Linked DNA regions of Ovis aries. The protein of the gene in region 2 purifies or fractionates together with the protein of the main gene of each other region. This does not show direct contact. Links are inferred from orthologs where the notes say so. Each region holds a gene or a part of one and is shown on either strand. Other genes may lie near its edges.

Evidence for each region.
Region 1: the proteins of USP33 (region 2) and ROBO1 purify together in Homo sapiens (affinity purification with western blotting; 5 studies listed by BioGRID and IntAct, with this or other methods). This does not show direct contact. The link is inferred for Ovis aries from reciprocal best matches to the Homo sapiens genes USP33 and ROBO1.

Annotation. Positions count from the first base shown.
Region 1 is NC_056054.1:147,042,261-147,046,083, reverse strand, and holds part of ROBO1 (roundabout homolog 1), read left to right. Parts: intron 1-697; coding exon 698-852; intron 853-3,627; coding exon 3,628-3,823. UniProt on the Homo sapiens protein: Receptor for SLIT1 and SLIT2 that mediates cellular responses to molecular guidance cues in cellular migration, including axonal navigation at the ventral midline of the neural tube and projection of axons to different regions during neuronal development.
Region 2 is NC_056054.1:54,221,605-54,226,140, forward strand, and holds the start of USP33 (ubiquitin carboxyl-terminal hydrolase 33), read right to left. Parts: upstream 3,043-4,536; 5' UTR 2,814-3,042; intron 1-2,813. UniProt on the Homo sapiens protein: Deubiquitinating enzyme involved in various processes such as centrosome duplication, cellular migration and beta-2 adrenergic receptor/ADRB2 recycling.

The DNA.
Region 1 (3,823 bases), about 93 Mb from region 2:
GTGAAGGTTCCTTTATCTAAGTAAAGAGCTTGTTCCATTTTTTAATGAAATTGTGAGAAGAATTTAATGGGTTTTTTAATGGGTCAAAAACTAAGAAATGCAAACTCTCTTAACTCGAGTATTCTGTAAGCTATTAAAATACTGAAAAATACAAGTATCCACCTTTTTAGAATCTTCCCTGGTGGCTCAGAGCTTGAAGCGTCTGCCTCCAATGCGGGAGACCTGGGTTCAATCCCTGGGTCGGGAAGATCCCCTGGAGAAGGAAATGGCAATCCACTCCAGTATTCTTGCCTGGAGAATCCCATGGATGGAGAAGCCTAGTAGGTTACAGTCCACAGGGTCGCAAAGAGTCGGACACGACTGAGCAACTTCACCTCACCTCACCTCACCTCACCTTTTTAGAGTCCTTGTTTGGTTTTTAGTCTATGACTGAAGAAGCAGTAAAGCATTAGAAACTACAGTGTTTTAAGTCTCTGCCTGTTTACAGTGTAATGGCTATATAAACTGAGGTGTGTCCCAGAACATTACATTTTACTTGCCTTGTCTATAAAATAAAAAGAATGATAATATCTTTCAGCATAATTGACCAAATTATTTGTAAGGATAATAAGATGAAGAATGGGTTGGAATACGGAATAGGCAATGTTATTTGCTACTTATATAACACTTGCTTTTATACGTGTTTTTTTTTCTTTAGGCCAGGACTTCTCAACATCAGTGAACCTGCCACACAGCCATGGCTGGCAGACACATGGCCTAACACTGGGAACAATCACAACGACTGCTCCATCAATTGCTGCACGGCAGGCAATGGGAACAGTGACAGCAACTTGACCACGTATAGTCGCCCAGGTTAGAGGCACAGAGATAGCTTGATACACAAGCTCGGCATTGTTAGGAACAGGCCATGAGGCGATAACTTCCCTTTTCTTCTCCCTAAGTTGGAAAGGAAATTTAATCAATATGTTCATGAAATATTAACCACTGTTTAGCAAATTAGCCTGATTCAAGTTATGTTCTCCATCCTTAGATCTCCACACCTCACTCTGCACCCAAAAATGTTTCCCAATATATGAAGGGAGAATGGAGGATATAAATTCTAGAATAAATAGCAAATAAGGAAAAATGAAATTCTGTAGAAGTAGTTATCCTCATAAAAATGTGTGTAATTATATTTTTAGTAGATTGTAGTTATTTAGAGTATTTATTTTAAAGATTTTGAGGGCAAAGCAAATCAAAAGACCAACCAACAAATATATAGTCTGAGGGATCCAAATTTTTAATGGCAGTAACAACAGCAATAAGAATAATTATATGGTGGCAAAAAATGATTTTAAATTAAAGCTAACTGAAATTCAAAAATGTTATTGTATAATAGTAAATTTTTGTAGGATACAAGAAATATATACCTTTTGCAGCTGTGTATGCTAATACTTGGAGAAGGCAATGGCAACCCACTCTAGTACTCTTGCCTGGAAAATCGCATGGACAGAGGAGCCTGGTAGGCTGCAGTCCATGGGGTCCCGAAGAGTCAAACACAACTGAGCGACTTCCCTTTCACTTTTCACTTTCATGCATTGGAGAAGGAAATGGCAACCCACTCCAGTGTTCTTGCCTGGAGAATCCCAGGGATGGCAGAGCCTGGTGGGCTGCCATCTATGGGGTTGCACAGAGTCGGGCACAACTGAAGTGACTTAGTAGTAGTAGTATGCTAATACTAATTGTGTCTTTGGGGTTCAGAAATATGTGTGGTGAATTACTTGATAATATTTCATGCTAAAACATGACAGTAAACTTTGGATGTAGAGTATGCAATATTTAAAAGAATAAAATTGTAAGTAATTCTTAAAAAAAAACCTTTCAGCACGCATTCACAATATAGGAAATATTAGAAGAGTCATGAAGAATCAAAATATATGACTATAAAAATAACCCATGGAATTAAGAAAAAGGAAAATAAAATATGGTGTTTAAGTAAAAATTATGATGTACCGTAAAGAACAAATTGTAGTCTCCACTGAATTTGGATATGAAAATGATGCAATCATGTGACCAAGTCCCTATTCTTCAGAGGTCGGTGTTCTAGTTATCTAGGCAGAGAAGTGCTCACATAATTATAAGTAAAAGAAAGATTATGCTGAGGCCAGTAAGAGAAGAAAGTGACAACATTTTTGTAAATTAATATGAAGAGCTGAGTTATCCAGCATGGTAGCCTCTGGCTTCAGGTGGCTATTTAAATAAAATATCATTTAAAATCCAGTTCCTCATATGCACTAGCCACATTCTGAGTACTCAGTAGCCACATGTGGCTATTGTATTAGAGAGTACAAAATAGAACATGTTCATCTCAGAAAGTTCTGTTGGATAGCACTCATATGGAAATACTGGCAAAGAAAAATGAGATTGCCAAAACTATATTGCCATTAAAAATATTTTAACAACTCTTACATGAAGCTTAATACCTAAAAATTAGAAATAAAATTACTAAAAGCCAGATTAATTAAATACCTCTGATCCCTGATCTTTTGTTGTTAAAATACAAGGTAATTGAATTCATTAGAGTAGAGAAGTTGCCAATTTTTCTTAAAACTATATTCATTTTTACATCTTCAGTAGTAGCCATATTAATTCATCAATTCTTACGATTTAGTCGAAAACTCATCCTCAAGGTGAACTTGTTAATGTTGCAGCCACTATGCATAAAATAGTGGTATTTTTACTATTATAATGTAACTAAATTTTTATTTAGTATTTTAGTTTTAAATGATGATTTTAGTTCTTCCTGCTATTTTAATATTTTCAAATGCAGATCTTAAGTATTTCTGTCTCTTAAATTAGAGTGAAATTGAAATATTAGACAGATTATTACAGGTGTTATTTGATTAAATTGCCCTGGGTACTATGATTCATTTGGCCATCATTATTGTCATTTTATATATCTTGAGGTATCATTATGAAACCATACAAAATGACTATATAATAGCTTTTCTTGATAATTATTATCTTGCGTGACCAAAGGAAAAAACTAATAAAATTCTCCTGAGTATTGTTTACTATCACTTTACCTCTGTTCCTCATTTTTTTGAATAGAGGTATTTTGTACAATATTGAAATCTCAAGTTATCTGATCTGAGGGCAGAGGTTTTTTGGGGGAGGGAGAAGGTCTGGACTAAACCTAGTAGCCTTGTTCTGTTGCTTTAACAGCTAGCTCGTAACTTCAAATAGTTCAGTAATTCCAGATTAGAAAATATAAACTTGGCACATAAAGATATTCATGTATATATTCTCTTAGTGCCTTTCTCATTAATGTGATTGTTAAAGGAAAATTACTTAAATTGAGTTCATTATTTATAAACTACATAACACTAACTGAAGTTCAGAATTATTTAGTCTCCATATAAATTATATGTCCTCTCTTACTCCCTGAATTTTTTTTTTTTGAAAGAACATTTGATTCTGTTCTTTAGAAAGGACATGAGAATACATGGTCCTTTTTATTCATCGTATTTAAGCCCATTTATACTTTATATAACAATTTTACTGTGACTCGCAAAGCTTCTTACAAAGAAATTTAAAACGAATAACCATGCGGAATGACTTTTTCCTTTTCCTCTCCATTGCACGTAGCTGATTGTATAGCAAATTATAACAACCAACTGGATAACAAACAAACAAATCTGATGCTCCCTGAGTCAACTGTTTATGGTGATGTGGACCTTAGTAACAAAATCAATGAGATGAAAACCTTCAATAGCCCAAATCTGAAGGATGGGCGTTTTGTCAATCCATCAGGGCAGCCCACCCCTTATGCCACCACCCAGCT
Region 2 (4,536 bases):
ATTCATGTGGATCATATACTGTGTGTGTGTGTGGTAAGTCGCTTCAGTAGAGTCCGACTCTTTGTGACCCTATGGACTGTAGCCCACCAGGTTCCTCTGTCCATGGGATTTTCCAGGCAAGAATACTGGAGTTGGTTGCCATGCCCTCCTCCAGGGATCGAACCTTCATCTCTTCTGTCTTCTGTATTGGCAGGGCTTTTTTTTTTTACCACTAGCACCACCTGGGAAGCCTGAAACACACACCTCTTCTAACAAAACATCTTCAATGAAGGCTTTTGAAATTTGTCTTTTTCATCTCTTACTACTAGCTTATATAAACCATAACTTATTATCAGCCAAATTCTCAAATATAAGTTGTACCTTCCCAGGAACGCGATAATCTGTTCATTAGAAATGTCCTCCGGTTGAAAATCCTGCACACGTCAAATATCATCTCTATCAAGATTCAATCACAAGTAATGTCTTCTTCATCTGAATTCCTGATTATAATACCATAGCATGATTATATGATTATAATACCATAAATACCTGATTGTAATACCATAATACCATACACAACCTTACCATAGTTGTATAAAAAATTACCCAAGCCTGACTACAAACCTGACTCTAAGGGCTGAAACCATGTTTCACTCTTTTTATTTTCCAGAGGGCTTTCCGTGATAGACCCACAGAAACTGACCTACTTGGCGTTCTAAAGTAACTTTTGAAAAGAATAGTTATTTTGACATATGCATTGTTTCTTAAGTATTAGTTCTCCTGATACACACATGCTCACACACACACTATATTGTAAAAAATTCATGCTTTTTATAGACAAACCAACTATATTCATCTCATTCTCTTTGCAGCTACTTATCAAAATGCTCCTGAAATTGCATGCAGACTTGAAAAGTTTAAAAACTGTATGAGGGACTTCGCTGTGGTCCAGTGGTTAAGACTCCGAGCTCCTGAGTCTGATCTCTGGCCAGGCAACTAGATGCCACTTGTCACAACTAAGACCCAGCGCAGCCAAATTAAAAAAAAAAAAAAAAAGTCAAACAAAAAATCTACACTAAAAAAAGCTGCTATTTATCCCTTTATTTTTTAGACATGACTACATTTCACAGTTCTCCCCAAAAATCTTTCACCATTTATGCTCTTCATTTCCTTTAAGAGTCCACAGTCTGTCACATGTTACAGTTCACTGTGCTCCAAAATCTAGCTGAATTCCAATTTATATCAAAGGTTATTTCAGCAAGATTATTTCAGGCTTTAGAGAAATTCTAATCCTTCCACAATCTCAAAATGTCTCTGTTGTGGGAAAAGGCTTTACTTCTTGGAATTCCTAACTCAGTGAACAGGCATGAGGATCAAATAAGATTGTATATTTGAAAAGTCACTGAAGATTATAACAGCAATACATAAACCTTAAAATTATATCCTCAACGTTGCATTTCAAACGATTAAAATAATTTATCTACTACAATCTAATGCCATTGAATGCATTTACGTTTTTGGTTTCAAATAGGTTATAAAGAATCACAAAAGACAAAAAAGTGAAAGCTGGCTCTAAACCCATAAGAAGCAATGTTAAGCAGACAATCTCTCTTGCATATGGCAAGAGGTCAAATAATTTATTTCTGGAATATTTCTTGTACTGTCCATTTTTTTAAAATCCTGCCAAAGTAAAGTAATATAAAGCCCCTGGTGTAGTACAATTCATTCCTAATACTTTTTCTTAAGATTAGCATTTCAATAAGATTCCCATTTTCCCTCATGTTTATATTAACAGCATGAATTCACTAACAATATTCATATTATGTTCAGACCAAATAGCTTATTATTTGCTTTGGTCAGACCTTTCCAGATGATACATTTGCTTCAACCAGAAACGAACTAGGACAGCCTCATTATATTTTGAAAGAGATTTTCCTTAAAAGAAAAATAATCTGATCAAACTAAAAAATTCTACAATTCTATACATCTATTAAGCAAGAAGTCTAGAGATCCTTGTGGTAAAATTCAGCGTCAGTTCAGAGCCTACGCGCCTGCCGGTGTTGTCACCACTGTCCCAATTTTCCTGGCCTTATATTGATTATATGAAACCGTAAACCCTAAAAATACTTGTGTAAAGCACCAGAGTCACCTAACAATCATTCAAAAGAAGAGCATTTTATAGTGGGTAAATATGTAAGAGTAAAGGTCTGGGAAACCACACACCATGGAAACTGACTCAAACAAAAGCTGCGGATGGACAGACCGCAAGGGCTACCGTAACCTCTGAAAACAGTCGGATTAAATATTCACCGAAGAAAAATTCCAGGGACGACGACGCCTAGGTTTTCCCGCTGACAACAAAGAATAACGGAGCCCCTGGGGCTGCACGAATGGGTCCGATCACCCCAACTGCGCCGCAAAGCGAAACCAGAACCCCGGAGCCAGCGCGCTGCGGGGCTTCCAGTCTTCCGCGCCCACCGTGCCGGGCTGGCAAGCTGGAATGCGGACCGAGGAAGGAGCGGAGACCTTCTCAGGGACTCCCCTCACCCCTCCTGCCTTCCAGGGAAGCGCCCCCTGGGCACCCTTCCTCAAATGTACGACTGACTCGCGTCCTCCGCCGACCCCTACCGGGCCGGCCACCAATCATCAGCGCAAAGCACTGGAGGGGTCTAGGCCTTCTACCCACACGCGCGCTCACCACCATCCGGAATCAAGAAAAAGAGGCCGCTACAGCAGCCACAGCTCCGGTGCGCGGCAGCGAGAACACAGATCGGCCCCTGGCTGCAGGCGGGCGCCTTTCGGCCCTGAGCCCCTCCCAGCAGCGTCGCGCTCACCTCCAAGGCCTTCCCCACGGGCCCCGCCAGCGCGGCCAACGGTGGCCTGTGGCCGCACCTTCACCAACTCCTCTTTTCTTCTCCTGACCTAGGAGATGGGAGGCGTCACGTCCTGGGCGCCGGAAAACAGCTCCGCAGCTTAGCCCGCGGGCTCCCCGCCTCCCGCACCCGCCACTTCCCGCAGCAGCTACCGCTCCTTCCGGTGTCTCAGCCGTCGCCGCAGGCGTCTGGGGAGTTGCGGGAGGGCGGGGAGGGGCGGGGCTACGAAGAGAGCCCGCCCCGCCTCTGGGGGCGTGGCCGCGGCGGCCGGGTCCAGGTGCAGAGACCCAGGCTGCTGTCCCCGCTGAGACTTCCTAAGGAGCTAGCGGCTCGGGGAGCGTGTACCTGTAGAGCAGTTTTGGATTTGAAACACTTCGTTTCTACACGAGTTCTCGCCCTCTTGTACAGTCACACTACGACCGTTAACAGGTCTGTCTCGATGCATTACAGAATTTGCGTTTAGGCTGCCCACTAAAGGGGCAAAGAAAGTATACTTACTTCAACACTTTTTCCTTCCTCTCTTTCTTCTCCCAGCATCTTAGGACCTAGACTCTCTGAAAGTCATTGTGTTTCTTCTCCCACTTCTACAAAGTAGAAATTCGTCTCTCCCATTTTCCCTTAGGCCAAAATCAAGATCAGATCAATTATTTATTGAAACCTTAGTATCTGCTTAGTGACTAGAGCATTTAAAGAGATCTGCCTTCTATTAATAATTAATGGACCTGTTAAAATCCATTCAATTGATTAATATGCAAACAATAAAACAGTTAATATTAATTGTTCCAACTGTCAATTTCAACGTGTCTGTTTATCTCTAACTTTTCGGTCTCCAAAATGGGAGCTTGTACTCAAGTGTTATGTAAGATGATCAGTCTCTGTCAGAAACAAATAGAGAATATGGGAGCTTCTAATTCTATCAATTTATATCAAAGGTTATTTCAGCATCTTTGATATGGTAAAAATGAAAGAAATGAATTTTTGCCCTCATCTTATGTAGGAATTGACACCAAGCCCTCAGTTTGCACCACAACCTATCCTGGGTTAACTGACTGTCAGCATATTTCAAAATATTGCAGTTTACATGCTGGAAGATCTCAGCAATGTGTTAAATTTTTATTTCGTGAAAACATTGGTTCCCTGATATCTTGTAGCAAAGTACTGTCTGACAAAAGGAGAGTTTTATAGGTTTATTTGAAAAAAGACATTAAAAATTTTATAAACCTTTCTGGTGATAAGTGGCTGTTGTTAGCAATGCTAACAACAAAACAACTTTTTAATGTATACATTTTCCTATGGCCCTAGAGTAAAAGCTGTGTTTCAAAAATGAGTGAGAACTGCTTTTTGAAAGAAACTTGTGCAATAAAGAGAGCATTTTGAAAAAGGAGGTTTGAAACTGTTTCCATTATTAAGTAATACTGCTGGCAAAAATTGTCACCTATTAAAAAGTCATCTCTGCATCAAAAGACACTATAAAGAGATGAAGGAGTTAAGTCAGCAAATAGGAGAAAACATTTGAAATATGTATCAATGTGACTAATAAAGGGCTCATATATAAATGTGTATATACATATATATATATATATATTTCCATGAATCATTAAGACACTAAATAGACAAAAGACAAAAGTCATTGCTCCAAAAATTCCTGTGTTGAAAATGTATCAGTGATGTTATGGTATTGCAG